Rattus norvegicus: one gene and its partners. The protein of the gene in region 3 interacts with the protein of the main gene of each other region in a pairwise test. Links are inferred from orthologs where the notes say so. Each region holds a gene or a part of one and is shown on either strand. Other genes may lie near its edges.

Region 1 (6,292 bases), on a different chromosome or scaffold from region 3:
ATATTTATTTAATTTTTAAACAAGATATCACTATGTTGTCCAGACTGGACTCTTGTCCCAACTTAGCCTTCCTAGTTGGTAGAGTTACAGGTTTTCACCACTGTGCTGACTTCTGAATTATTTATTTATTTATTTATTTATTTATTTATTTATTTATTTATTTATTTTGTGCGTGTGTGTGTGTGTGTGTGTGTGTGTGTGTGTGTGTGTGTGCATTTATAGACGCTACAGGTCAGTGTCATGTGTCTGCCTATGTCGCTCTCCACCTTCTACTTTTTTGAGATAGGCTCTCACTGAGTTCAGAAATCATCAACTGGCTAGCCTGGCCAGCCAGCAATCTCTAGGAATCCACCTAGCTTTTTAACATGGGTTACCAGCAACTTAAAATCACTTTTACCCACAGAGCCACCTCCCTAGCCCACTCCTGACTTATGAAGACTTTAAAAGAAGATTGCACGTGTTCTTGGATTCCCATCCTGTGGATTTCCTATTGAGCCTTCTTTGGTGTGTTTAGTTCCTACTCAACCATCGATTTTGTACCTTCCAGAATGTTGTTGCTGTTGCTTTCTTTCTTGGTTCTTTCTAACCTTGTTGGTTTTAGAATTTACTGGAGATAATAACATTAGATGACTGTTCAGTCTCCCATCTTTATCTGAAAGTAATTCAAGCCATAATGAAAGGGTTGCTTTCCTCATGTGATTATTTTTGTCACCTCTCAATTTGTATTAGGTGCTATATCTGAAGAACCTTAGTCCTCGGGTGAAAGAAAGAGACCTTATCTCATTATTCGCTCGATTCCAGGAGAAAAAAGGACCACTCATTCAGTTCCAAATGATGACTGGACGCATGAGGGGACAGGCTTTCATCACCTTTCCCAGTGAGTATCTTCATCAAGGTAGCCACTCTATTGTAGCATCAGTACATGAGAAACCACTTCTTACCTCACTGAATTACATTAGAACCTTAGCACATGGAAGGGGGCCAGGAAGGAAAATATATTTCCAGTATTCCTTGATCTTCCTTCCTATACTTGCTTCCTGTTTCCTGTGGATGCTACACAAGCACCTTACCCTAGTGTCCTCAGTTTTGCCATTTTGACATTTCCTTCCTACCCTACCAGTATTCATTTATTTCTGTCGCAGTGCTGCTTCTACTCTGTATTACAGTAGAATTATTCACAGTTAGTGTGTTGGCATTGTGATAAGAAGACATATCTTTTTCTCATATTTCTTTTATTTAGGACTAAGTGATTTTAAGCTAATTAACTCATTGCCAATTCATAATTGTTGGAAGATAATACATTCTTCCAAATATCACTTGCATGTCATTACATGCTCTAATCAAAGTGCAAGAAAAATACAGTAATTTTGATCTTAGTAAGCTAGCCAGTATGTCTTCAGCATGAAGAAGCTACTAGGATCTATACCTCCCATTGCCTCTAAACTGTCATTGTAATACTCTGTAACTTTTATGTGGGCAAGTGACTTTACAGGAGAATTGCTGATCTTATCCCCCTTGCTTTCATATAACCTTATACTGTCTTTTCTATCTCACTGAAGGTTTGTAGATTCTTTGTACCCATGGTTTTCAGTCTTTTGAAGGGAGAATTCCATTAAATTTGAAAACAAATTTCATGTATTCTTACAAAATATATCTAACCTTCTAATTGAAAGATACACAATACAAAGACTTTAACATTTGTATATGTACGTGTTTGTAAAGTGTATGTGTGTATATGCTCATGTGTGTGTTTGTGTGTGTATGCACATGTATGTGGTGGTTAGAAGCTAACCACAGTGTCTTCTTCAGCTGCTCTTCCACCCTAATTTTGTCACTGATCTTAGAGCTCATGGATGTGGCCCAGCTGGCTGGTCAGTGAGCAACAGGAACTCGCTACCTCCCTAGCTCTAGGGTTGCCCATGCCTGCCTCCACGCCTGGAATTTCATATGGGTACCAGGGATCTGCGCTCAAGTTCTCATGCCTTCATAGCAAGCCTTTTACTTCTAGAACCATCTCTCCTGTCCCTGCTTTATACTAATAAATTTGTAGCTATTTTACTAATCCTAATAGCTATAGTACACACTTGAAAATTTGGTATATATCTGAGACGAAATGATCTCAGTCTAATGGCACTTTCTACTTATAATTCCACAGACTCTACTCCAAAATCTAGCCCCTTCTCATTTCTTACATATGATCCCTGATACCCATATGCTGAATATTCCTGTTCTGTACTATATATTCTCAGACACACATTTTTATATACCTGCAAGAAAAGTTCACTATCCCCCACCACTTTCTTTCTAAAAGAAAACAGTAGCTAAGTGTGTTCAATAGTGTGGTACCTTCTTTTATTTGTGTAACAATTTAAAAAATTTTGCTTCCTGTATCTATAATCTATCTAAGGTAAAGTCATGTTTATAGTTAGGTTTAACTTAGACGTTTTAAATATACTCCTTATGTATCCTTATATCTTTGAATCAAATGTACGTTTTGAGGGTCTTTTGTCACTATTATTACACAGTAATTTAATCTTGCTAACGTATATAAATTGGGGATTGTGGACAAGGCAAAACATCAGACATCAGTATGATTTTTATAGCAAACAAATCACAATTAAACCTGTAATATAACTGAGTGATTGAGCTCTATATAATTTGATGCATTTTTCTTATTCTTTTCCAGATAAAGACATAGCATGGCAAGCACTGCACCAAATTAATGGATATAAACTCTATGGGAAAATATTGGTGATAGAGTTTGCGAAGAGCAGAAAGCAGCAGTCAGCTGCTCAGTGCGCTCCGCTTATAGCATCTGCTACAGATGGCAGAGCAGAAATCAATGGTAGCTAGAAACCCATATCAACCCACATGTACATGCACATTGGAATATATGTATGTAGTATGTATGTATGTATGTAAATATACACTCAGATGATTTTGCTTTTATCATAATCTTAGATCAAGAATGTGTGTATTCTTAAAAATTTGTTGAAAATAGAAGAGGAAATATTAGAAAGACAGAAATTAGGACAATGGCCTCAGCATTTGGAAAGAATTGATAAAAATACATTCTATAATTAAATACTGTATAGCATCAAAAAGATTATATAAAATTGACAATATCCTGAGTGAAAAAAAATAATAATGAAACATTCTATATGTCAGATAATACTCTGAGTATTAAGATCATGTGAAAACCTTTAATTCTCAGGAAATATTACATAGGACTGTTCCTCAAGATTCCAAAAATTCTTTAATAGTTTGTAGTCTTCAGTGTTTAGTCCTAGACATAAGACTTTTTCTAGGACTGTTTCCTGTATACAAAGTTTTAAAAGAAACCCAGTGTTAAAATAACTATTTACTAGAACTCAGACTGTATTTTGTCCGAACTTTCAGCAGTTTCAGTAGATAGATTCATAAGTTTTATTTATTTATTTATTTAATGATTGCTTCCACACTGTTTTCAGAGTCCTCAAAACCATATGTATTACTATAACATCTTTTAAATATTGGTAATCTCATGATACGATTGAGTTCCAAACAGTACACATTTAACATGGAGTACCTGCCTAATATATGTTAAATATTAGGTACATGAACTTTCAAGAGGAATGAAGTAGCATATATACTAAAGGGACAAGGAAAGAAAGTGTTTTAGAAGAAAGTCAGCCTGCCTCAAATCCCCTGGTGATTTGTTTAGAGTCATTGAAGAATAGGAACCTAATATGGTTTAGATGGTAGAACCAGCTTTGGAGTTAGACCTGTGACCCTCAAAGTCACCCATGTTTACCACCCTGAGCTTAGAAAGTCACTTAATCTGAGCCTAATTTATCTCATCCATAAATAGTAACATTGCTTCTCACCTCCCTGGTTAAATGAGATTATACTATCCAAGGTAAGGAAAAAGGGGAAAAATGAAGGAACTCTAAGGAACTTCCACTAAGTACATCAAACAACATATAATAAGAATCCCATTCAAAAAGGGAGAAGGAAGCATAAAAATACTGCAAAAGGATGAGTAAAATGGCTCAGTGAGTAAAGGCATTTGCCACCAAACAGGAAGACCTGAGTTCAAACCGTAGGACCTGCCAATAACAGGGCAAAAAGGATAGGAGCTAATGCTGAAGTTTCTCTAAAAATAGTGCGAATCCATAGGAACAAAGAAAACAAAAGGGAAATAGTGCGAATCCATAGGAAGAAAGAAAACAAAAGGGAAATAGTGTGAATCCACAGGAAAAAAGAAGACAAAAGGGAAATAGTGCGAATCCACAGGAAAAAAGAAGACAAAAGGGAAATAGTGTGAATCCACCGGAAAAAAGAAGACAAAAGGGAAATAGTGCGAATCCACAGGAAAAAAGAAGACAAAAGGGAAATAGTGTGAATCCACAGGAACAAGGAAGACAAAAGGGAAATAAGGTGGCTAAATTTTACAAGGCTGTAAACCTAAGTTAGGTTCCTAAAAGTCACAGAATTGTATTGGTAATTATACTGCACTGTTAGCCCTGGAATGTAGAAAGTCTGCATGGCCGTCATACCCTAAAGCATGAGGAAGAGGGAAAAGGAAACACAAACAGTAGACATAAAGATCCATTCTTTGTTTAAAAGGTCAATGTTTTAGGATGTGAGAATTTTAATCACGTAACTACAGAGCCACCACATAACCTGATGCAAGGTAGCGAAGTCAAGAGTGAAAGGAGAAACTGGTGGATGCCTAGTGTTTCCTTCCTAAACAAGGAAGTAGCCAGCTTCAACACTGGGGATAGCCAGCTTCAACACTGGGTGCTAGATAGATTCGAAAGACAGCTATAGAACATTCTACCCTACACTAGAATATATATTTTCACCCTATGTATACGAAACATCCTTAGGCTAGATCATGAGCTGAACCGTAAAACAAGCCTTAATAAATACAAATAGACTAAAATAATCTCAAACTTGTGCTCTTCCACATGGGAGGAGGTTACAAATCAGTGACAATAAATTGGGAAACTCCCAAATAAGTGAAAATTAGTGATATCTAAACACCAAGTCGGTGAGGAAAAAAACAGAGAAGCTGGAGAAATGGCTCAGTGCATAGGTGTGCTTACCTCTCTCGCTGAGCACCTGCGTTTGAGCCCCAGCATCCACACTGGGTGGTTCCCAGCTACCTTTAGTCTATGTGGGGCATGCTTAGAGATAAGCCTATGAAACGAGAAGAAAGATCATGGAACTGATTCAGTTCCTATCCTAAGCCATAGCTAGGATAGAACCTAGAACAAACACAACTGGGAAACCACGCAAAATGCATGAGAAGAATACAACAGAGAAAATGCAGTGAATCCAAGCAAGGAACTGGTAGACCTTTTACTACATATAGCAGGACAAGGTAGACTATAATTATTAGAATGGGAAATAAAGGAGGGAACATTGCTACTGACCTTGGAAAAATAAAAGGTGAATAAGGGAATATTATTATACTCATGTGTCAATAAATTAACTTACTGAAAATAAACAAATTCCTGAAAAGATAAAGTACCAAGAGCCAAGTATAAGAAGCCAAAATAAACCTAATAACAAAGATTAATAATTAACAAGACAGATAAGCCACAACAATACCCATACTTAGGTTGCTTTTGATTTGATTTCTAGAATTCTACTAAATGTTTAATCAAACAGTAATCCAATCTCTTCACAAGCTGTTTATTTAAAAAACAGGAGACATTTCTGAGATATAGTACTGCAACGTGGGAGAAATCTGAGAGCACGTTCGGGCAGAGAAAGCAGTCACTGATAGTGACACATTGTACAAGTCCAGACATATGTTGAGTACAGAGTTGGATTTAAAAGTACATATATACGTAGTGATAAATGGTAGGCAGGGAAAACTAGACTGTATAGGAATTCTTTGCAAGTGGATGAAAATGTTCATAAATTGCATCAGTGGTTATAGAATGATGAATATAGTAAGTGGGTGAATGTCATGGTATGTGAATTAAATCTCAGAGAAATTCAAAACCATAGGAATGTGGACATTAGGCAGATGTCCACATGTTAACATGAGTGACTTCTAACTTACGGCACATCCATTTCGGAGGGTATTATGAAGCCATTCAAACAGTAGACTACATCTAGGAATATATTGTGACCTGTACTCATAGTCAAGATTTTATATTAAGTTATAAACTAAGATACATGTATGTATGTATGTATTATGTATGTATTATGTATAAGATGTATGTTAACTTTTTAAGCAAATAGTTCATGTGTATAGTTTATAGAGATAATTTCAAAACAAGCGTAGGAATGAAAT
Region 2 (6,292 bases), on a different chromosome or scaffold from region 3:
ATGGCGTCCAAAGGCAGGAGTCACGCATTCGATGCTACCTCCTGGAGGCCAGCAGACTGTGGCTGGCCATCTGTGTCCTGGCTGGTTACAGTATGGTCTTTTGCGACCTTGCTTGGGTAAAGACATGGGAGTGTGCACTGGAAGTCCCTTCCTGGGGTGGTGAGGGCACAGAGGTGCTCTCGGGATGTGTGTCTCTGTCCTGATCCTTGGGTTCTGTGTGGCTTCATGTTTCCCTGTTCCCTGCGTAGTTCTGACCTCCTGTAGCTCATGTTCCCTGCGCTGCCTTCATAAACCTCCCTGGCACTTTGGGAGAAAGAGAATTATTATCTTAGGGTTTCTATTGCTGTGATAAAACACCATGACCAAAATAACTGGGGAAGGACAGGGCTTATTCGGTTTACACTTCCACATCGCTGTTCATCATCAAAGGAAGTCAGGGCAGGAACTCAAACAGGGCGGGAACCTGGAGGCAGGAGCTGATGTAGAGGCCATGGAGGATGCTGCTTACTGGCTTTCTCCCCATGGCTTGCTCAACCTGCCTCCTTATAGAACCCAGGACCACCAGCCCAGGGATGGCCCCACCCACAATGGGCTGACCCCGCCCACAATGGGCTGACCCCGCCCACAATGGGCTGACCCCGCCCACAACGGGCTGGGCCCTCCCACATTAGTCACTAGTTTATTGGCCTGTAGACTTGCCTACGGCGCGATCTTATCGGAGCATCTCCTATTCATTCATTCGTTTGTTTCTGGAAGCATTTTCTGGAGACCCCCCTCCTCTCAAATGACTTCAGCTTCGGTCAAGTTGACATAAAACTATGCAGCACAGGTCTGCACACACTGCTACCACCAAAATGTATGTTCGGTGTCAGAGCAGAGGCAGAAGCAGGTGGGTCTCTGAGTTCAAGGCCAGCCAGGGCTACACAGAAAAACCCTGTCTGGAAAGACCAAAAAAAGAAAAAGAAAAAAAAAAGAATCCTGGTTTCCTGGAGGATCATGGGGAGTTGACATGTCATCGAACTGTGCCTTTTATGCAGCCATGAATATTCATGTAAGAGGGCAGCATTGTAAACATGTTAAGGAGGTCAGACACTGAGGAACCTACACACTGTATGGTCACTCCTGTCAGAGTGATGGAAACAGCAACAACCAGCTCCCAGCTGGAGAGTCTGGGCTGGGCAGGCTGGTGTGCTCTGCTAATGATCAGAGGGGCTTCCATCAGGAGTATTTGCATGACAGTCTGCTGAGTTACATGCATGGTTCATGAACACAACACACACATGTACACATAGGTGGAGTCTGTTAAACAAGCAGAGATCTCTGTCCCATGTACTGTTGAAGACGTACGTGGTGGTGAAGGTCTCCGGTTTGGCAGGTCCTGGATTGAATCCAGCTTCATCACTCCAGGCAGTCTGTTAGAGACCTTAGGGTCTCAGGTGTATGCTTGCCCATTGCTGTGTCAGGCCCCCCTCCTAAGGTGACTTGGGCATGCGGACTGGTTAGTTTTAACTGCCAACTGACACTGCCTAGAGTCAGCTGGGGAGTACAAGACTGGTCTAGATCGGGTGGGCCTGTGAGCTTGTCTGTGGAGTACTGTCTTGATCGCTAATCGTTGTAGAACGAGCCCTCTATGGGCGGTGGCATTCCTTAGGCAGGGAGGCCCTGCCCACACAAGAGTGAAGAAAGCTACGAAGCTAGCAGGCAACGTGGGTACATTCATTTTCTCTGCTTGCCTGTGACCAAGCTCTGGCCTCTGACTTTCCTGCTATGAGAGACTGGAACCGGGAACTGTAAGCCAAATGGCCCCTCCCCTCTCCTGGGTGTTAGGGTGTTTTCTCAGCAACGGAAATGAAGCTAGGCAGGGTGGGAGGAAGCAGCAGATGACAAGGACTATCCTAAGCTTGCCTCCTTATCCTGGGGTCACCTCCCTAGGCTCTCAACATGCAGGAGACTGCCTCGCTCAGCAGCTGCTGCAGAATTTCTCCTTCCCTGTCCTGTCAGTAAACCAGAGGGTCTGGTGGCATCTCTGACCCCTCTCTCTCTTGTGTGCTGGGCTTTCCCATGTGCTGGTGTAGAAGGGATGTGCTCCTTGTTGGGCAAAGAGTGGGCAGGAGGAGGGCGGACACCAGGAGACACAAGAGGGGTTTCTGGAGAGTTCTCTCTGACCAGCTCTTGATCCCCTTTGGTTCCCTGTGAGGTATGAGGTGCCTGCTGTGGGAACTCCTTCCCAGCCCGTGTCAATGCCTCTGGGTCAGCACTGAACTCTCTCTCGATGGTATTATGAGACCCGGGAGTATCACCAGCCCACCATGACATACACCTTTAATTATTTTTTTTTAAAGATTTATTTTTACTTACACAAGCACACTGTAGCTGTCTTTAGACACATGCCAGAAGAGGGCATCAGATCCCACTACAGATGGTTGCGAGCCACCATGTGGTTGCTGGGAATTGGATTCAGGACCTCTGGGAAGATCAATCAGTGCTCTTAACTGCTGAGCCATCTCTCCAGCCCCCAACACCTTTACTTTTTAAAAGCATCTTCAGTCATTCTTCTGTGCAGCCAGGGCTGAAGACTACCACTGTTCCACACTGTCCCAGGACAGGTCTAGCAAGGTCTGTGTTCACCAGCAACAGTTACCTAATCGTAGTCGCTTATGTGAATTTGGTCTCTTGCCCGTCACAGTCCCATTTTCCATGTGGTGGAGCTGAGTTTCAAATGGGATGTCTTGAATCTTTCTACTGTCACAGCTACTCTAGTGGCCCAGGCTGGGTTTGAACCCAGTCCTGAGCTGCTAGGACTCCAGTCTCGTGTGCTGTGTTTCGTCTCCCCCAGCAGGCTGGATCCAGAGCCACACCCTTTTATGTTCAAGGTGGCTTTGGGGTCTGAGCCTGCGACTGTAAAATCAACGGTGTGCCTACATGGGATGGGAGGTGGTCACAAAGGCAGCGTCCACCCAGCTCAAGCCAGTCGCATGGACAGAAAGGAACAAGACGCTAAACCGTTTTGGTGCTGGTGTGTTTCCTTCCCCTCCAGTGGAGCACGACAAGGAATTCTTCCACCCTCGATACCACCATCGAGAGTTCCGGTTTGATCTTTCCAAGATCCCCGAGGGAGAGGCGGTGACCGCAGCCGAGTTCAGGATCTATAAGGACTACATCCGGGAGCGGTTTGACAACGAGACCTTCCAGATCACAGTCTATCAGGTGCTCCAGGAGCACTCAGGCAGGTAAGTTCTGCGTCTGCGTGGCAGTGGGATGCTCAGCTTCCTGCAGCTGCGAGGAAGGAGTGGGTGACGGGCTGCGGCTGGGCTGAGGCTACCAGATGACTGTCTCAGAGGTGTGTGGTGAGTCAGTGTCCCTTCAAACCATGACCCCATGCAAAATCGAGCACGGATATTGGGAGTCGGGGAACCCTGGGAACCTTGGGGCTGTGCCTCCCTGGACAGGACTACAGGAACGCTCTATGTATGGTGCTGTGTTCAGAGAGAGAGAGAGAGGTGGGGGGAGGGAGAGCTGGTGTTGATGGTCCTACCATTCACTGATCTGTAGCCCTGGAGGATATCAGACAGCCAATGAAAATAGCCATTTATAATCAAATGCTAAGGGCAGAAAAAGAACAGAAGAGGAGGAGAAGGAGCAGGAGGAGGAGGAAGAAGAGGAGGAGGAGGAACAGGAGGAAGAGGAGGAGGAGGAGGAAGAGGAGGATCAAACCAAAAGCAAACAGCTGGAGAACTCTTGGCTATCTAAGAATCGCTAGGTGCTAGGTCAGGAACCAAAGTTTGTTGTTTCTGGAGATCCTCTCACTTCACAGCCTCGAGAAAGGCAAGGAACTGAAGATGATGGTGGCCATCCCCTCAGATACATTCCAAAGTTCTGAGCTGGAGCAGCCAAGGTCTCCTTTCTTTGTGGCTGGGTTTTTGTACTCTGAGGCGGTAGGACTTGTCCCCACAGATGCTGTGGCATGGAAGTTAGAGGGGGAATCTTCAGCTAGGACGGGAACGGGGACAAGGGAAGCCTGGTTCTGGCATGGCTGTTTGGCAGCTCATCTGGGTGGTGAAGGAAATGGAATTTCTGTGGTGTTTCTGGTGTCTTGCACCCAGGCGACACCTCATATACACACCAGCAAGCACTTTGAGGTAACAAATCTGGGAAACGGACAGGATCTAAGTGTCCTAAAGTCACCACAGAAGGCCAATGAGGGGGTGGGGAGGGAGAGGGAGAGGAAGGGAGAGGAAGGGAAGGAGGGAGGGAGGGAAGAGGAGAGGAGAGGAGAGGAGAGGAGAGGAGAGGAGAGGAGAGGAGAGGAGAGGAGAGGAGAGAGAACACAAGAGGACTTGACCCAAACTGGAAACCAAGCTTATGGAAAGACTTTCTGATGATGATTTAATTTTTTTTTTTTTTGTTCTTTTTTTCGGAGCTGGGGACCGAACCCAGGGCCTTGCGCTTCCTAGGCAAGCGCTCTACCACTGAGCTAAATCCCCAACCCCCGATGATTTAATTTTGAGCTGAGTCTGGTGGTACCCAGCCACCTAGGGGCTGAGACAGGAGGATTATGATCTTTTAGTGACTTCCTGTCCTCAGTCCTCCGGGTTTCTCTTTCTCTGGAGGAGAGACCACCACCCACTCTCTCCTGCTTCTAAGTGGTGGCAATTTCCCAGGCAATAACCCAGCCTGATTATTTCATGTTCACACAGTCCCATGGGATGGGCTGTGTTGTGTGGTGTAGTGTCGTTGTGTATATCACCTATTTGTTGCCCACAAGTGTGTGGTGACCTCCATTCTGCTGCTGTGGTCGGGGCTGTGGGGGAGGGTGGCCTCACTCCTGAGCGTGTCTGCCTGATGTTCTAGAACTGTGACTAGGTCACACACCTGTGTGCACGTGCACACCCACGTACGTACCCACACATGGCCTTCACAGAGGTCACCGGGCTTTCTCCACCAACCAGGGAGGACTTGTCCCCACACACTCCGCAAGGCCTCCTACTGAACCTTTTTGATCACTCTGATGGCTGACAGAAGGCATCCTGGTGTGGCTATAATTTATGCTTACAGCCCCTCAGTGCCCTGCACCAAGCTCAACCCTGCATGGCTTTCTTGCTAGAGAGACCTACAGTGAACTAGAGGGCAGGCAGGGCACAAGAAGGAGCTGGGTGGCTGGGGGCAGGAAGGCAGCCATGTGGGTCAACTCTGAATCTTCCCAGGAACTCACTCAGATGCCCGGTGTATCTTAGCTTGTTCCTCAGGCCCAGCCTCACGAAGAGGACATGGGCTTTTTTCTGGAGGTCCGGTACCTGCTGTGCACTGGGGACCATTTTTGCCCTGGGGACTCTTGTTTGTCCGCTAGCCTGGAGTTGAATCTGGCCCTCCTGTAAGCTGAGCAATAAGTGCTCCACCCCAAGACCATCAAGACTCTTAGCCAGATGAGGGTTTTACCTTTCTCCATGGCTGATGGCTTAAGGGAAGGAGCATACCCAGAGGTCGTTTACCAACAAGTGGGGCATCCACTTATGCCTGGGGCTCTTGGTTGGCCTCCAAACCTGCCTCTCAGAATGCCTCACTAGCACATAGCCTCATCCAAGCCAGTCCCGGCCGGCCTACCTCAGATGGTTGACTGTCACGGACACACTCTTCTCCCCATCTCCCTGTGGGGACAAGTGGTTGAGGATCATTGGGTCTGGGGGTCGCCTCTGACACCGAGGTTTCTCTTACCTGTGCAGAGCTCGCTTCCCAATACCACAGCCTTGCACGCTGTTCTTCCTGTGCAGCAGATGTCTGTCCCGTGTCGTGCACACCCGCCCTACCCTGTGGTGGAAGGTGCTGGAGGCACGGCTTTCTGTGTGTGCACACGCCAGTTGCTGTTCTCAGAGGTCAGGCAGAAGGAATAAATGGGGGAAGGACTTTGAGAGCATGAACGCCGCCGTGTAAAGTTTTGGTTTGCCCAAGTTTCCCAGGCAAACTGGTTGCCTGAGTTTGCCAGGATGCGGCCATGATTAAGTCTCACAAATGGCAGCCCAGAGCAATAGGACTGGATTCCCTGGAGTCTGTAACTTCAGAATTAGTCAATGGTGCCTGTCCCCTCTGAAACCTCTGTCTGTCTGTGTCTGTGTGTGTGTGTGCGTGTACACTTGTGTGTGTGCACTTGTGTGTGCTTGTGTGCATGCTGTGTGTATGCCTGTGTGTATGTGCAGGTGTGTGCACGTGTGAGTGCATGCATGTGTGCTTCTGTGTGTGCATGTGCATGTGTGTATGTGCATGCGTGTGTGTGTGCAGGCTTGCATGTGCATGCTTG
Region 3 (5,437 bases):
CTTACCCAAACCAGGAGCTGACCCGGCAGCGCCTGCTGCATTTGGTCCATGTTGCTCTCCATTGCTGGCGTCTCTTGTTGCACAGGCTCATTCCAGGCAGTGGGAAGTCAGGTGTGTCTGTTGCCACTGTCCTGGACACTGGGAGCCACATAGCTAGCTCATCCCAGCAACCCAGCACTTACCCCGGACCACAGGGGCTGCACAGACCTGATCTTGCCATATTCTCCTGGCTAGGGTGACCCTTGAAGCAGCCATCCAACTTCCTGTCTGCTTAGGGCTACCCACAAGCCCCTGGGCTGGGCTGGCTATGTTACACCATGTTCTGGCTTTGCAAAAGGCCTACATGACTACCTGTCCTGGAATCTATTATTTCCTACTTCCTGGGACCAAAGATGAAGGCCAGGTAGGGTGCCTTGCTACCCTATCTGTCCTCGACAAGGATTCCTAAGCCCTACTCATGGGCAAGTTGCAGTGTTCTTTAAAGATTAGCTACAGGAACAGTCAATGTACCGCCCTCTTTCACGGGACAATCCAGGCATGTGGTTCATCCCAGTCATTGCAGCGGGCAGCTGGGAAGCTAACGCAGGAAGACTGACATGTATTCCAGGGCACCCTGAGTCACACAGCAAGTTCCTGCCAGCATGAGCTACAGAGTAAAGCCTCTAAAAAATATCCTAAAGTCAGAAGGAACGCACTCATCAGCTGGATCCCACAGTGATGGAGGGATGGCCTAAACTGGAGAAACGTTCACTGTGAAAGGCTTTCCCAATAGGGCACCAAGGCTTCCTCTCTCTGCTTTACAGAATTGACTTTCGCCTCTGTATCTTCAAAAACAAAGAAGTTCCCCTAGACCTGTAGACTTCTAGGCGTCTTAGCTTTGTTGTTCTGTCAGGAAAGGAACGAAATATACCTGCTATCCTTGGCTCTCTAGCCCTGATCATTCAGAAGCACCTGAGCAGGGCCAAGTACATGTGCAAGGAACAGGGATTCCCTGAAGTTGACCACAGACCCACTGATCAAACTGGGATCCACAGCCTGATTCTGACCATGAAAGTGACCTGTAATACTCACTGTAAAAGAAACATATGTTCTCTGCCTCTGCCTCTCTGTCTCTGTCTCTCTCTGTCTCTGTCTCTCTGTTTCTGTCTCTCTCTGTCTCCATCTCTCTGTCTCTGTCTCTCTATCTCTCTCTGTCTCTCTCTGTCTCTGTATCTCTCTGTCTCTGTCTCTCTGTTTCTGTCTCTCTCTGTCTCTGTCTCTCTCTCTGTCTCTCTCTATCTGTCTGTCTGTCTGTCTGTCTCTCTCTCTCTCTCTCTCTCACACACACAGAGAGAGAGAGAGAGAGAGAGAGAGAGAGAGAGAGAGAGTCTAAACTATGTACCACAGTGCTTTTTACTACCAACAGAGCACACTCTGGCATTTTCTGTTCTGTCTTTCTGAAAAGAGCAGTGCTGGTCCCTCATCCATCTCCCCTGATTTTCCCGCCCACAAAAGCTTTGCACAGAGCGGTTAGCAAAGTCCTGTTCCTGGAAACCCTCCAAAGTGCAGAAGCCAAGGCCACTGATCCAGTGGGAGTTTCTTCACTGGTGTCTCTTTCCTAGGTGGAAAAGAACATCATCCTGGAAGAAAAGATCCAGGTACTCCAGCAGCAGAACGAAGACCTCAAAGCGAGGATCGACCAGAACACGGTTGTTACCAGGTGGGTGAGCCCAGTTTCTCACTACGTCCTTCTCAAAGTGGCTTTCCCGGAACATCCGCATGTCCCAGTATCCAGTCTGAACAATCTCCTGGTGCCTCTCAGTTGATCAGAAGAAAAGCAGATGGCCGTGACCCCATGGTACACATCCCAGCTCTGCATCCCAGCCGGCCCCGTTCCCCAGAAGTGAGTGAGGACCTCAAGCCCAGGAAGCAGGGGCCCCAGAGCAGGAAGATTTCATCCCAGAGATTAGGAGAAGAGCATCAGCTAAAGTCCCCAGCTAAAGAGAACCATGGCTAGGTAACCCCAATATTCCAGAAAATCGGGTCAGCTCTTCCCTATAGGCTCCTGCTTTCAAGGAAGGATTGGGTCACTCTTGACCCCAGCTCAGAGTGCAGTGAAAACGTCTGTGGCGTCTGTGGCTGGCTGCAGGTTATTATACTGGGCAAGGCTAAGTCGCCCGAGTGAGATGGAGGCCTTCGCCTTTTCCCATTCTGTTGGACCAGACTCCTCGGTGTGGCTATGATATGTTATCCTGTGTACACCCATGCTTATGTGCACACACTCATGTATATATCCATTCACGCGTGCTCACACTTACACATACACTGATGCACGTGCATGCTTATACACTGGCATGCCACTTGTTCACACGCCCACACATACCCAGCCACCTTTCCTCAGACAGCAAGTGCAGGCGTCAGCCCAGAGTACCTTTCTGGGACTTTAGCCCATCCAGTTGTAAAATGTATTTGTACTTACTCTGGCCGATTCCTGAAAGCAGCGATCACTCTCTAAAACACAAGTTGAAATAGACAGGTGACTCCGTGGTTAAGAGCACTGGCTGCTCTTCCAGAAGACCCAAGTTTGATTCCCCGCACCTACCTGACAGCACACAGCTATCTGTTAGAGTTAACAGTTCCAGGAGACCCGCGCCCTCTTCTGGCCTCCACAGGCATTGCATGCAATGGTTCTCGGGCATGCACGCAGCCAAAACACACACATAAAGTACAAAAATTACCAAAAACACGCAGCAAAGCCAGCAATTTAAGCACCATGACATCACACACACACACACACACACACACACACACACACACACACACACACACGATTGCTTTCTCTCCCCCACCCCCGACCCCCGTTATCAACCGACGGTGATCAAACATCTATTTTTCTGGATGCCATGCTGAACGCCAGCCAAGAACATAACAGAGTCTTGACCCCTGCCCTCTAGGACTTGTGGTCCAGCAGACAGACATGTAGACAGACCGACTCTACAGCCGAGCTAATGACTTCAATCGCAGAGGCACGTACTCAGGGCTGGAGGTAACGGGAAAATATTCCCGGCTGATTGGCGCTGTTAGTCAGTACCCTGACCACAGCCGTAGACAATCTCCATAGCAACCCCTCCTATGGGCTGTAGCAGCAGCCCACGTGACCTACCATCTCCCCCACTTCCTACTCCAGCCTCTAGCCTTTCTTTGCTCTGTGCACAACTGCCCCCTAACCCAGCAGAGAGACCTGCGAGCCTGGGGAATTGCCCCCGGCCTCCGCCTATCAGCCTCTGTCACTAGTACGCCCAATGGTTCCCGCTGCTAACTACCATTCTCCCCCACGCAGACAACTGTCGGAGGAAAATGCTAATCTCCAGGAATACGTGGAGAAAGAGACCCAGGAAAAGAAGAGACTGAGCCGAACCAACGAGGAACTACTTTGGAAGCTCCAGACTGGGGACCCGACCAGCCCGATTAAACTCTCCCCCACATCTCCGGTGTACAGGGGCTCCTCCTCTGGACCCTCCTCTCCAGCCAGAGTCAGTACCACACCTAGATGACATCACCCTGCCACCCACAGGAGCTCAAGCTTCTGTCCGTCCGAGGGAGTGCTGGCCGGTGCTGGTGGCTGCCCTGTGCGCATGCTCAGTAGCTGCATACTGCATCTTAGGCAGAGTCCTCTCTGACCCTCGTGTGAGACCGTCCTGGTATTGGCGCTTAGGAAGGCGTAAGCAGCAGAGTCTGGTGTCCAAAAGCAAAACACAAAAACAAAAACAAAATGCTTTAGTATAGTTAGAAGCAAAAGAGAAACAGCTCCAATTGTTCCTGAGAGACGGAGTTCCGCAGCGGAACTTTAGGTCAGCCACAAACAGCTCCGTTTTTCGAATACTCGAAAACCCTCCTTGCACCGCTGCGGGTGTGTATTCAGATGCGTGGGTACACACCTGCGGCGACTCCGAATTGCTTTTTTTTATATATATATACATATATAACACACGATGCGCTGACATATTTTAGCGACGGTCAGCAGTTTTCTAACTTGTGCCTAAGAATTATTGGGAAATGAAAAACGCATTTCTATCTAGTTTCCTGGAGATATTTCTACCCAAAATAGAAAAAAGAAAAAAAAAAAAGAAAAAAGAAAAAGCAAGCAAGCAAGCATGAGACCAAGTGGTACCCTGCTTACCCTAAACACCAGCGATTTGTAGATGGTAACCGCCTTTGGAGCAACTAGCTTCTTAGTCCAACGCGAGGTGGGGTCACTCTCAGCCCATTGCAGGATTTAATTATGACTTCTCCCATCCCAAGGAGGTAAAATGTCGCAGGGTGTGGGGGAGGGGGGGACCGGAGGGATCACATGGTCTGGCCAATGTTTTTCCCCTTATCAATTCATTATAATCTTGAAAACACCAGTTTTGCTCCCCACCCCCAACCCCAAATGGCACCTTGCAAATCCACCATTAAGATATTATTGCATCCTCAGGAAAACACGGACGCATGCGACCTTTGCGATGAGGGTAAGCATGAACTCGGAGACTATCTAGACCATGCATGACCCATCCTCATGGAGGAGGAGTTCTGGTAGGGGCCGACATGGCCCCAACCATCGCCTCTCATAGGCAACACCCCCATTTTTCAGTTTGGTTCTATGACTCGACCCCATCACTGCACATCAAGATGGCTCAGGGGTTCTAGTCAAGGCTTCCGGAAACCAGCCTTTCTCTCTTGGGGAAAGGGGGGGGGGAAGCCAGTTCTAAAGGTGCTAGATCATGTCCCTTCTGCTGGAGGGTTACCAGGACTGCACCTGGCTGTGGTCCCGTCTTAGCCCCAGAAGGCTCTCCCAAACAAGGGAACGCAGTGAAACGGCCAGTCAGCATCCATCAGCCGCTGGACTGGCCTTCGTCTCTAATGAGGTAGAGTTAGAACATGAAAGGTATTCATGTAGTGCTATGGAAGATTAGAAGCATGACCCACAAAAGAGAAGTAGTTTTAACTGGCAGTACCGTGCCGCGCTGAATGATACCTTTGTTTCCTGTATGTGACAAGAGACCCTCCGTTTTCTAAGCATGGGCCTGTCTGTCTGTGAGCAGGCCCAAGATGAGAAGAGCCACGGAGCCAAGAAGACGGTGTCAGCCACTCCAAGGACACACATATCTGACACCGAGACAAGTGTGGTCAACATCCCTCCTGTGGCTCCAAGTTGGGCTTCCTTGGTCTCGGGTGCATCTAACTGTAGTCAACCTCCGCGGGTCTTGCCCATTCTGGAGGCACACACGGTAGATACACAGAGAAGAAACAGGTCTTTTTTTTTTCCTTTGGCTCTGCATGATCCTGGGATACCGAGCTGGGCATCCCATAAGAGTAGCTCATGCCATGTCAGTTCAACACACACAACTATTTGTTCTTTTAGCAGGCACAACCTGCGGACGTTAAGTTCGGTTGGCCGTTTAGCTCTCCGAGTTAG
Region 4 (5,074 bases), on a different chromosome or scaffold from region 3:
AGCTTTTTACCTTGGTGGGATGTCTGTGTCCCACAACAGAAGGCAGAAAGCAAGACAGCAATGGTCAGGTAGCTTACCCAAGTTGCTCAGAAGCCACTGTCTCTGTGAGAACTCTGTGTCCCAAAGGGGATGTGGACATATTTGAAGTAACATTACCTCCCATCGCTACAGCCTCCATGTACTCAGAGATCCAGAGGGAGCGGGCTGACATCGAGGGACTCATGGCCAGGCCAGAGTACAGAGAGTGGAATTCAGAGCTCATCAAACCCAAGAAGCTGCTAAACCCTGTGAAGGCCTCTCGAAGCCATCAGGAGCTGCACCGTGAGCTGCTTATGAACCACAAAAGGTAGGATGGCACCCAGATGGCTGGCCCAGCAATACCCTGCCTGCACAGGCCTTCTGGTCTTAGGAAGATTCTTCTTGGGGGGGAGGGGTGGCCCAAACCCATTGCCTGGAGCCCCAACAGGGTCCCCAGAAGAAACTGTGTGAACCTGGAAGCTCTGTCTACTTTCTGTGTGCTTAGATGCCGCATAAATTTACTAAATACTTATTGTGTGCAGGGTATCACGCCCAGCCCTTAGATACAAATAAAACGGAGACCCAGTTTCTGCACTCCCCAGGGGGAATGAAAGTTGCTGGATGCTTTAAATGAATGTGGGACCCCAGAGGGGCTTCTAGGATAGGGGGACTATCTATATGACTTCATGGAAGAGATGATATCTAGAAAGACCAAAGCAGGGGCAAGAGTCAACCCCGGGGGTAGATGGGTTATATTGGCAGAGAAAACTGGTGATGGCCCTTTCTTAGCCATCTATTGGGGAAGACCATGGCTGTAAAACAGAAGGGCCAAGGGGGAAACTGGGTTATGGCTCGTCTGTGATCAGTAATCACGGGATAGCCAGCGTAAGATCCTCCGTTGTGAGGATCCTGATCTCCTGGCTTGCCTGAAGCTGGTGGACCGTCGTGGCGCCCTCTGCCGTCTGGTTGTTATATTGGAGCTGGTGTGATTTCCGTTCTAAGTCATGCCACAGATACCCGTTGCACATGAGGCTCTTGGTGGGTTTGTTTCCAATTAATACTGTAACATTTTCACGTTCTCAGTTGTTTCGGCAATAGTCATTCATTTTAGTATCAAAAATACCACCACGATGAAAAACAGCTTCAAGCAAACTGAAATATTTGCAATATAAATAAATTATATCGAAGAGATACAGTATGAAATATTCATGTATTCCTGTACTATAGTCTACAAGGAAAGGATAAACAAAACGAGTGGGATTAATATGCAAATAGGAAAATGTGAACATTAGAAACACTTTAAAGGCTGTTACGTGTGACTGATAATCAAGGAAAACTGAGAAACAGGCATTGCTTTTTGTCTCCTGGACTTAAAAAAGTTGGCATGTAAAATGGGAATAAATTGATATCTTTGTAAGGAAATTAATTCCCATGAAATTTTAAGAGAACGAAGACTAGCATTTCCGTCATCAGAAGCTCTAATAAAATATCCAGCAACCACCTAGTTTCTGCAGCCTGTTATGAAATTCTCACTCACCTGTTGGTTGTACCTGCGCTTGCCCTGCTGTGCCTTTCTCTATAGCATGGGGCAGTGAGAGCGTCCCCTTCCGGCCTGGGATTGGTATCACAGGAAAAGTCAGGGCCAGGCTAGGAAAAAATTCTGACTGTTCCCCCCACCCCCACCCCCACCCCCACCCCCAGGGGCCTGGGTATGGACCGCAAACCAGAATTGCAGCGGGTCCTGGAGCACCGTCGCAGGAATCAGCTGATCAAAAAGAAGGAGGAGGAGCTGGAGGCCAAGCGGATGCAGTGCCCCTTCGAGCAGGAGCTGCTGAGAAGGCAGCAGAGACTGAACCAGGTGGGTAGGAGGCACACAGCTCCAGTCTGAGCCTCCTCCAAGAGAAAGGCCAGCATGGGATCAAGAATCTACCTCTGCCCACTGTGTGACTCTATTCCAGTGGCAACACTTCTCAGACCCTCTGCCTCCTATAAGATCTACATCCTGGACGTTAGTTCTGCTGATCACCCCTGCTCTGAGAGCAGGTGGCATTTCTATTCTATAGGTGGGAGGCTCTTACTGTCCCCATGTGGGTAAACTGAGAGTCCTGGGTTCTTGTGTCCTGGGAGGGCTGGCTGGGGACTTGGAGAGTGGCAGAGATGAGGTCCACTAAGGGAGAGGAGAGCACTCTCCAGAATGATACCGGTTACAGAGCAGGAACAGGCTCAGCCTCAAAACCCCAGGCTGGCCCTTGAGAGTTCTTTTGCACATCACCCTACCCCCACATTCAGAGATGGTGGGATTTCCTCATGCGTACTGTTTTGATAATGTTTCCTGACGTGAGGGTAGATCTGTTTGTTTGTTTGTTTCTTTAGGTTTATCTTTTTGACTCTCTTTCAAGTGTCTACTCTCCTGATACACATCCCAACTTTGGAATGGTTTGTAAAACCCACCCCAGGCTTTCTCCATTGACAGGACCCTGGGTCCAACTATAGCATGGGGTTTAGGAACCCCATCCCCAACCAACTTTGCAAATTCACTCCTTGTGTTTCTCTGCTCCAGCTGGAAAACCCACCACAGAGAGAAGAGGACCATGCCCCTGAGTTCATCAAAGTCCGGGAAAACCTGCGCAGAATCACCACCCTGACCAGCGAAGAGAGAGCACTGTAGAGTTTCCTCCACTCAGCAGCTCCTGCCACTTGCTCTGGCCCAGCCCTCCTGAACCTGAGGACCCTAGCCCACAATGATGCTAGCAAGGCACACCTGAAAGCTATCCCTGGGAAACTGAAAACCCCCCGCACCCCACAGGAAAAGTCTCTGGACTTTTCTGAGCACCTAGCATTCCTGCACCAAGAGGAAGCCACTACCAGGAAAGACCTCCAGAGGTGCCATTCCTGATCTGACTCACTGAGACTTCCCCGCAGAAGAGGAAGAGAGCCAGGTGTCCCTCGATTTTGCTTCAGTTGCCCAATAAGGCCTACTTCTTGGAACAACTCAGCTCCTAGCATTGGAAACAGCTCAACTCCGGCTTAACCTAAGGCCACCTGTTTGAGAAATCACAGAATGAGCAAAGAAAGCACCAGATGTTTGTAGCAAGGAAGGGTGGGAAGGGGCCCAAGCCACGCCCTTTTAGGCCTTGCCCGATTGCCTCATAGTTTGGCTTTTATTTCTCCTCCCCACTGCCCTCCCTAAACCATACTTCACCTCAGAGCTCCGGTTTCTAGCCTAGAACAGCATGTTGCCAAGTTACTGTAAATACAAATCAGAGAGTCCTGTGATCAGTCCCTGGAAGCTACATGTATAACATACTCCATGGTCCAGGACATGGGTTTGAACACATAGCTAGGCTGAAGCAGCCAAGAGTGGTTTATTAGAAATATCCAACTTTCTTGGCTCCCTGACCAGGAGTTTCCCAGAGCCTCCTCTAAAGCCACCCAAACTCTTTACTCACTATCCATAGTATTCCCAACACACACACACACACACACACACACACACACACACACACACACACAGAGAGAGAGAGAGAGAGAGAGAGAGAGAGAGAGAGAGAGAGAGAGAGAGAGAAACCCTAGCCTGGTCAGGGGATTGTAACTGCCAATTTTTATTTCTTACTAGTGTAACCACACTATCATACAATTCTAGCCAAAAATAACCTTAGCTTTCTACAGTGTTTTGGAAAGCAACTATACAATGATTTCCTCTGCAAAGATATATATATATATATATTAGTTCGAAGACCCCACTGCCATGGTGATGGAGTAGACTCTTAGGTCAATATTGCCAGCACTGTCACCTCAGACCCTGCCCCTCCCCCTAGTCTGGGTCTTCCCCACCCATTCTTCTTCCTCAAAGTCCCCTTCCTCCACAACACCCAAATACTTGAATCTTTTGTTCCTATGCCATTTTTTAAAAGATCTACAGAGTAAGCCAGGCCTGAATCCTTTCCCCTGAAGAATGAAATCCATGACTCAGCTTTTAAGCCCTTTGCTGGTGGGAACAACATGGCCAGACAAGCACAAGTTCTCATGCCACAGACCCTCGGATTTCCCTGCTGGGGCGCCAGTGGATCTGCCTCCAAGAAATGATGGTGGGATGGACACAGGGTCTGACAGTGAATGGAGATGTGTAAATAGACTCTCTGTGTTTTTCTCACTCTGAAGGTCTAAATGAGTGGTTCTCAACCTTTCTAATGCTGTGGACCCTTTAATGCAGTTTCTCATGTTGCGGTGAACCCCCTCCCAACAGTAAATTATTTTCATTGCTTTTTCATAACTGTATTCTTACTACTATTAAAATCATAATGTAAATATCTGATATGCAGGATATCTAATGTGTGACCCCCCCCTCCCATGAAAGGGTCATGCCCCACAGGTTGAGAAACGATGGTTTAAATGCAGTGAAGCTGTCTTAAGTATCTGCTGGTGAGGTATTATGCTGAAGATGTGTATTTCCTAAATAGAGGGTTGGGGGTTCTCCCCTTACAGGTCCATTGCTGTTCTGACATGTAAAGAGGAACAGGCGGGGCCTCTGGGATAGAGTAGGACCGCCCAAAGGACTTGGCAGTCCCAGGAGATATGGCAAGGTATGAAAGAGACACCCCCAAAGTACAAGAGGCCTCAAGGCAGGTCTTCCAGGGGAACCATAGTAGCGGCCTTGATACTCTGTGAATCTGTTAGTCCCAATTCCGTCTCTCTCACTGCCTTTGTGACTATAAATCTAGATTCTCATTCTCCTAGCCAACTCTGTAGGTTTGGCTGAGCATGTGACCAGGCATGGCCAATGAAATTGAAGTGGAAGTCTACAGGAGCTACTAGAAGAACTCATGCCTTTCCTGAAACCCTCACTTGGCCTCTCCCTTCTTGATTGAGGATGTCATGCCTGGACCATTAGCAACCATGTTTTACCTGAGGGAAGGCCAAAAGATCCACAAACCCTGTGATCTGATCGTCTGACCAAGCAAGTGCCAACAGCTTTCCCGTCTCCAAACTCCATGTAAATAAAAATAAATCCCTGTTTGGTAAAGCCATTGTAAGTCTGTTTCTTACAGTTCCCAAC
Region 5 (6,292 bases), on a different chromosome or scaffold from region 3:
CAGTCCTGAGAGACTTTCCCAGGTTACAAGTGTAGTGGCAGTCATGAGCTGGTGTTAGGACTCTGCCTTTTGCATGATGTATTTTTTTTCCTTTTGTTTCAAGACAGCTGTGCAGTTGTTACCGTACAGCTCTGCCCGGCCTGACCTGGCCTAAATTTACTGTGTAGACTGGGCTGGCTTTGAACTCATAGGGTCCTGCCTCCTGAGTGCTGGGATTAAAGGCATGTGCCACCACACCCAGCTAAGATTTTTTTTTTTTTCCGGAGCTGGGGACCGAACCCAGGGCCTTGAGCTTGCTAAGCAAGTGCTCTACCACTGAGCTAAATCCCCAACCCCCAAGATTTATTTATTTTATGTATGTGAGTACACTGTCACTGTCTTCAGACACACCAGACGAGGGGATCAGATCCCATTACAGATGGTTGTGAGCCACCATGTGGTTGCTGGGATTTGAACTCAGGACCTCTGGAAGAGCATTTAGTGCTCTTAACCGCTGAGCCATCTCTCCAGCCCATGCAAGATAGTATTTTTCTTACTGTATAGTTTTTGTTTTGTTTTGTTTTGAGATAAGGTCTCACGATGTAGACCAGGCTAGCCTGGAATTCTCTCCCAAGAGGTAGGACTAAAGGTGAGTGTGCCACTGTGCTAGGCATTTTACTCATTTAGACGAGGTCTTTCACTGAACCTGGAGCTCACCAGTTTGACTAGACTGGCTGGCCAGCAAGCCTCTCAGGCACCGGAATTATGGTTGAACACAGTTGCACCTGGGTTCGCTTTGTTGATGTTTTTAATTTAAAAAACAAATGGGTGCTAAGGAGTCAGCTCTGGTCCTCATGCACCAAGCACATCGCTGTCTAGGCCATCTCTCAGGCCCCTATTTATTTAGGTTTTGGAGACTGGATTGTGTGCTGTAGTCCAGGCTGGCCCCAAATGCACAATCCTCCTGCCTCAGCCTCCTAAATACCAGGAAAATAGGCACATGCCTGCATGCCAAGCTTGTTTTTGAGACAGGCTGTATAGCCCAGGCTAGACTCAAATTCCAGGCCTCAAGCTGTCTTCCTGCTCAGCCCTGCAAGTAGCAAGGATTACATATGCACCATTGTGCCCAACATCTTACTGGATATCTTGTTATCTCTGTTAGGACGCCTGTGTCTTGAACTTCATGCCAAAAAAAAAAACAAAAAACAAACCTGGTGCCAATGGTACCAGCCCTGTCATTCTAAAGTAGGATGGGATGACATTTTTCCCTGCCACAGTGTTCCCAGTGTCCCCTCTACTGTGCCTCTCCTCCCAGGCAACACCCGAGTCTTGGTTGGTAAAGTTGAACAAACCTTCTCATGGAGAAGAGAGTTTCTGGCATCTGTCCTAGCCAGACTGGAAGACTGCCAGGAAAGGTCTGCCTGTGTCTTCTTCACCTGAAGTCAGATTCTAGCATTCCTCTCATGCACCCCACAGCTGGAGAACGGGCCTTACACTTTCCTCTTGTAAAGACCTAATAATAGCAGGGACTAATGGTGGCAACTGTTTGCAATCCCCGTGCTTGGGAGGCTGGGGCAGGCAGATGGCCACAGATCTGAGCAGCCTGAGCTATAGAATGAGACTTAAAGGAAAAAATGTGGGTGGGGTGAGGGTGCTTCCCGATGACTCAAGTGAGTTAAGGTGCCAGCTGTTCTGCCTGAGGAGCTGAGTTCCATCCCCAGGACCCACTTGGTGAGAGGAGAGAACTGACTTGCAAGTCCTCATCTGACCTACATACACACACTTAAAAAAAAAAAAAAGGTTAAAGAACAGTGCCCTGAAAAAAAAATAAATAAATAAAAAAATAAAAAATAAAATAAAAAAAGCTTGGGGGGTTGGGGATTTAGCTCAGTGGTAGAGCGCTTGCCTAGGAAGCGCAAGGCCCTGGGTTCGGTCCCCAGCTCCGGGGGAAAAAAAAAAAAAAAAAAAAAAAAAACAGTGCCCTGCAAGCAGAACTGTGTCCCCAGAAGACACTGTTCTGTAAAATTACCTATGAAGTTGAGCTAGCCAGGGGCGGTGGCACATCTCTTAAATCCTAGTACTCGGGAGGCAGAGACAGAAGGATCTCTATGAGTTTGAGGTCAGCTTAGTCTACATAGTGAGTCTAGGGCACCAAGAACTACATTGGGAGATTCTGCCTCAAAATATAACTAATAATTTTAAAATAAAGTTGAGATACAATTGATTCTGTATGGATGATCTGAGTCCTGCCAAGACCATGATGCCATACTGCAGCCCATGAAACCTCTTCCCACACATCATGAGCCAGAGGAAGGTGGGAATGGATAGATAGGAACCCATAGGTGTTCGAGTCAAGGCTTAAGTCTCTTTGTCTGATTTGGTTTTTTCTGTAGTAAGGTTTCTCTGCATAGCCCTGGCCCCCAAAACTCACTCTACAAACCAGGCTGGCATCGAACTCACAAAGATCCACCTTCCTCTGCCTCCCAAGTGCTGAGATGTGTTTGCCACCCCTGCCTGCCCTCAAGTCAATAGCTTAAGTGACTGTACTTAAACATGCTATCTATGTCATAAGGTTGAGCCATTGCAAGGACTGTCATGTGTCCTTTCACTGAAGAAGAAGCACTAAAACATCTAGGCAATGTGGCAGGTAATCCAACAGCTTCCAGGGCTTCCTTCAGATGTTGGCAGATCGTTTAAGCTCTCTGCTTTCTGGGCCTTAGTTCTTCCTCTGTGGTTCTAGGCGGATATTGGTACTACCTCACTCATGGCCCATTAGGAAGTGTTGTTTGACTCATGAATTTGCTTCCAAGAAAAATAGTCTTGAGAGTGGTGGCCCGGACCTGGAATCAGCACTTGGGGATAGATAGATGACCATGCATTTGCAGCCAGCTTGATCTGTACAGTGAGTTCCAAGACAGCCTGGACTATCAAGAGGAGTCCATATCTCAAGAGAAAGAGCTGGGCATAGCGCTGCCTTGGAGGGATCTCTGGGAAAACCTGGTGTTACAGGCCAGCAAGGGGTACATAAAGAGACCCCAGCTCAAAAAAAGGGGAGAGGGATTATACATCTGGAAAGCCAGTGAAACACGTAATTCCAGCCGACCATGCTTCCTACTTGTCTCCAGGAGTGGAGCCCCTGGGACTATTTACAGAGCGCATCAACTGTTTCTGAAATCCTCGACATTTTACATCTGTATTTTTACTTTCTATGTATGAGTGTTTAGTCTGCATGTGTGTAAGTGCACGTGTACCACATCTGTGCCTAGTGTTCACAGAGGCTAGAAGAGGGTGTTGGATTCCTTGGAACTGGAGTTATAAATGGTTATGAGTCACCATGTGGAACTGAATCCAGGTCCTTTGTAAGAACAACAGGTGTGGGGTTGGGGATTTAGCTCAGTGGTAGAGCGCTTGCCTAGGAAGCGCAAGGCCCTGGGTTCGGTTCCCAGCTCTGCAAAAAAAAAAAAAAAAGAACAACAGGTGTTCTTAGCCACCGAGCCATCTCTCCAACACCTCAACAATTTGTTTTTGAACAGGGTCTCCTTCAATGGCTTCAAACTCACAACAATCTACCTACCTGCCTTTGCCTCCAGAGTGCTGGGATTAAAGGTGTTTACCACCATGTCCAGATGTCTCAGTCTTTATAATAAGCACATAACACCATGAAACCAAAAAATAAGATTTAAAATCGTGACTGTGTGCAGAATACACAGGATGCACTATCTGAAGGGGTTACTATTAATAACTGAATGATCTTGGCCCAGCCCCTTCTCCAGGGGCCTCCACGTCTTCATTTGTAAGATGCAGCTAGGTGGTCTGGCTTGCCTGCTGTGAGGTCCTGCAGCTTGACTCCCAGCACAGTGTCCCTGCCCTGCCCCCAGCCAGGCCCTCCAAAGCCTGGCTTCCTACCTCAGCTCCTCTAGTTTGCGCTGAGGACCCAGGGTCCCTCTGTTCCCTCCTGGCGTGTAGGCCGCCAGACACCGGGCCACCTGCTGCTGCACTTGCTGCTCCCGAGCCCTGCGCATCTCCGCCTGCTGCTTCTCCTTCAGCTGCTGCTGTTCCCAGGCCTGCAGCAGGTTTCTGGTGAGAAAGGGGGGATGTCCATGGGGATCAGGAGCTCGAGGAAGGCCAAGGTAGCATGGAGGAGCATGTGGTCCAGAGGTGAGGGACTGTGGGAAGAAGTACGTGTCTCTAAGAGCCCAAGTCCTGGGAAATAAATGGCATTTGTCATGGAAGCAGGTTTTATGCAGCAACCAGCCTTAGGCCTGTCCCTACTTACTACTCAGGTTCCTTGTTTGTTTGTTTGGTTTGGTTTTTTGTTTGTTGTTTGGTTGGTTTAGTTGTTGTTGTTGTTTGTTTGTTTTGTTTTGAGACAGAGCTTCTCTGTGTAGCCCTAGCTGGACTGGAACTCTTCTGTAGACCAGGTTGGCCTCAAACTCAGATTCACCTTATTCTGCCTCTTGAGTGCTGAGAGCAAAGGCATGCGCCACCGCCTCCCAGCTGATGGCCAGGTCTTAACGTTGGGCCCAGGCCTCCTGAATGTCTAGAGCGCAGCCTAGGACTGCGGAGCCCCGAGGAGCTCAGTGCACAGCCTGGGACCCTTTGCACTGCTCACATTCCCTTCCCAGCAGCTGGCTGTGAGGAAAGCCAGACCTCTAACCACTCTACTTTAGTGCCTAACAGGATGAGGATGAGACACATTCAGACAGACAGTCAGACAGATAAATGTGTGGGAAAGAATTAAAAGGTTAGAGAACTTCATCTATGAAAGAAGAGGTGGGCAAGGGTGGGTAACTGAACAGCAACTAGACAAACCTGGGATACTCTCCCCCAGATGCCATGGTTCATCGGTCACCTGTTGAAATGTCATTTCTCACAGAGAGACATTCCCTGGCTACCCCACCTCCTTTTTAGGGACCCCCATCTCTAGCTACATACTTTGTTCATTTCACCTCTTTTGTATCCCTGGCTGGCCTCAAACGCTCCATGTAGCTGAGAATGACCTGAAACTTGACTCCTACCCTGACCTGCAAGGTGCTGGGATTACAAACTGCACCACCACACTGGACTTTAAATCTTCTTAACAGAAAGAAGAACTGGAAATATCACATGCCCTGATTTCCTAAACCATCAATCAGTAATCAGAACATGACACTGAGGTAAAAATGCAGACGATGGACTAACAGGCCAGAATGCAAAGCTCAAACAGCACATTGATTTTCCAGAGGGAAAGGAAGGTTTCCTCATAAGTGTGTGGGAAAACTGGCTATCTCTGTTAAAAGAATTACAGTAGACTATTGTTCCATACAACATGCCAACACCAACTCAAGTGGGCAAAGCATTTAAACTGAAAACCTGAAACTAAAAGTTCTCACAGAGCTCACGTGGTGACACATGCTTAGTTCCAGCCCTCACAAGGCAAAGGCAGGCAGATCTCTCTGAATTCAAGACCAGCCTGGTGTACAGAGTGAATTCCTAGACAGCCAGGACTGCACAGAGAAACCTTATCTCAAAAGAACAACAGAAAAGTGATCGAAATGAAAGGGGAACTCCACGATGTTGGACTGGACAGTGATTTCTTTTTTCTTTTTTTCGGAGCTGGGGACCGAACCCAGGGCCTAGCAAGCGCTCTACCACTGAGCTAAATCCCCAACCCCATGATTTTTTTTTTTAGTATTTTTGGTATATATGTAGGAAATTAAGTCTCTACATAGCAAAGGAAACAAAGAACATCTGCAAACAAAACACTAAAAACAGGTAACAGCTGACCTCAACACCAGTAAGAAAATACAAATTGAAAATGGCGACTGGGAGGTGGGAGGCAGTTAAAAGCCTGGCCACACCCGCCTGAGTTCAAGCCTTAGGGCCCAAGAAAAAGCCAGGTGTGGATTTGCACATCTATAATCCCAGCGCTCCTATGTGAGAAGTGTGGCAAAGACAGGTTTGACTCACAGGCCAGGGAGCCTATAGTACACAGAATTCTGGCAGAAATGAGACACCTTTCCTCAAAGTGGTGGAAGAAAACCAACTCCTGCCATTATACATAACGATGCCCATACTCACACAAAATACATTTAAAAAAGAAAATGGTCAACAGATCAGGCATGGTGATACAAACCTGTAATCCTGAGACCTGGGAGGCTGAGGCAGGAGGATTACAGAAAGTTCAGTGCCAGTTAGTACATACATAGCAAGTACCAGACATGGTAGTTCTAGTTAAATAGCAAGGATTTTCCTAAACAAAACAACCAACAAAAGATAGCCGCTGTCGATAAGGGTATGGAGAAGCTGGGCCCTTATACATAGTGGGAATATA

Evidence for each region.
Region 1: the proteins of Mtus2 (region 3) and Rbm41 interact in binary tests that used the Homo sapiens proteins (3 or more experiments, as listed by UniProt). The link is inferred for Rattus norvegicus from reciprocal best matches to the Homo sapiens genes MTUS2 and RBM41.
Region 2: the proteins of Mtus2 (region 3) and Bmp7 interact in a two-hybrid assay, tested with the Homo sapiens proteins (3 studies listed by BioGRID and IntAct). The two-hybrid records come from large-scale screens. The link is inferred for Rattus norvegicus from reciprocal best matches to the Homo sapiens genes MTUS2 and BMP7.
Region 4: the proteins of Mtus2 (region 3) and Fam107a interact in binary tests that used the Homo sapiens proteins (3 or more experiments, as listed by UniProt). The link is inferred for Rattus norvegicus from reciprocal best matches to the Homo sapiens genes MTUS2 and FAM107A.
Region 5: the proteins of Mtus2 (region 3) and Tsga10ip interact in binary tests that used the Homo sapiens proteins (3 or more experiments, as listed by UniProt). The two-hybrid records come from large-scale screens. The link is inferred for Rattus norvegicus from reciprocal best matches to the Homo sapiens genes MTUS2 and TSGA10IP.

Annotation. Positions count from the first base shown.
Region 1 is NC_086039.1:108,395,160-108,401,451, reverse strand, and holds the end of Rbm41 (RNA-binding protein 41), read left to right. Parts: intron 1-729; coding exon 730-877; intron 878-2,686; coding exon 2,687-2,853; 3' UTR 2,854-4,283; downstream 4,284-6,292. UniProt on the Homo sapiens protein: May bind RNA.
Region 2 is NC_086021.1:182,105,837-182,112,128, reverse strand, and holds part of Bmp7 (bone morphogenetic protein 7 precursor), read left to right. Parts: intron 1-3,037; coding exon 3,038-3,230; intron 3,231-6,292. UniProt on the Homo sapiens protein: Growth factor of the TGF-beta superfamily that plays important role in various biological processes, including embryogenesis, hematopoiesis, neurogenesis and skeletal morphogenesis.
Region 3 is NC_086030.1:11,743,367-11,748,803, reverse strand, and holds part of Mtus2 (microtubule-associated tumor suppressor candidate 2), read left to right. Parts: intron 1-1,601; coding exon 1,602-1,699; intron 1,700-3,319; coding exon 3,320-3,533; 3' UTR 3,534-5,437. UniProt on the Homo sapiens protein: Binds microtubules. Together with MAPRE1 may target the microtubule depolymerase KIF2C to the plus-end of microtubules. May regulate the dynamics of microtubules at their growing distal tip.
Region 4 is NC_086033.1:19,055,599-19,060,672, forward strand, and holds the end of Fam107a (actin-associated protein FAM107A), read left to right. Parts: intron 1-171; coding exon of another isoform or gene 172-176; coding exon 177-346; intron 347-1,719; coding exon 1,720-1,876; intron 1,877-2,578; coding exon 2,579-2,686; 3' UTR 2,687-5,046; downstream 5,047-5,074. UniProt on the Homo sapiens protein: Stress-inducible actin-binding protein that plays a role in synaptic and cognitive functions by modulating actin filamentous (F-actin) dynamics. Mediates polymerization of globular actin to F-actin. Also binds to, stabilizes and bundles F-actin.
Region 5 is NC_086019.1:212,132,173-212,138,464, forward strand, and holds part of Tsga10ip (testis-specific protein 10-interacting protein), read right to left. Parts: exon of another isoform or gene 4,183-6,292; coding exon of another isoform or gene 4,057-4,182; coding exon 3,886-4,056; exon of another isoform or gene 1-3,885.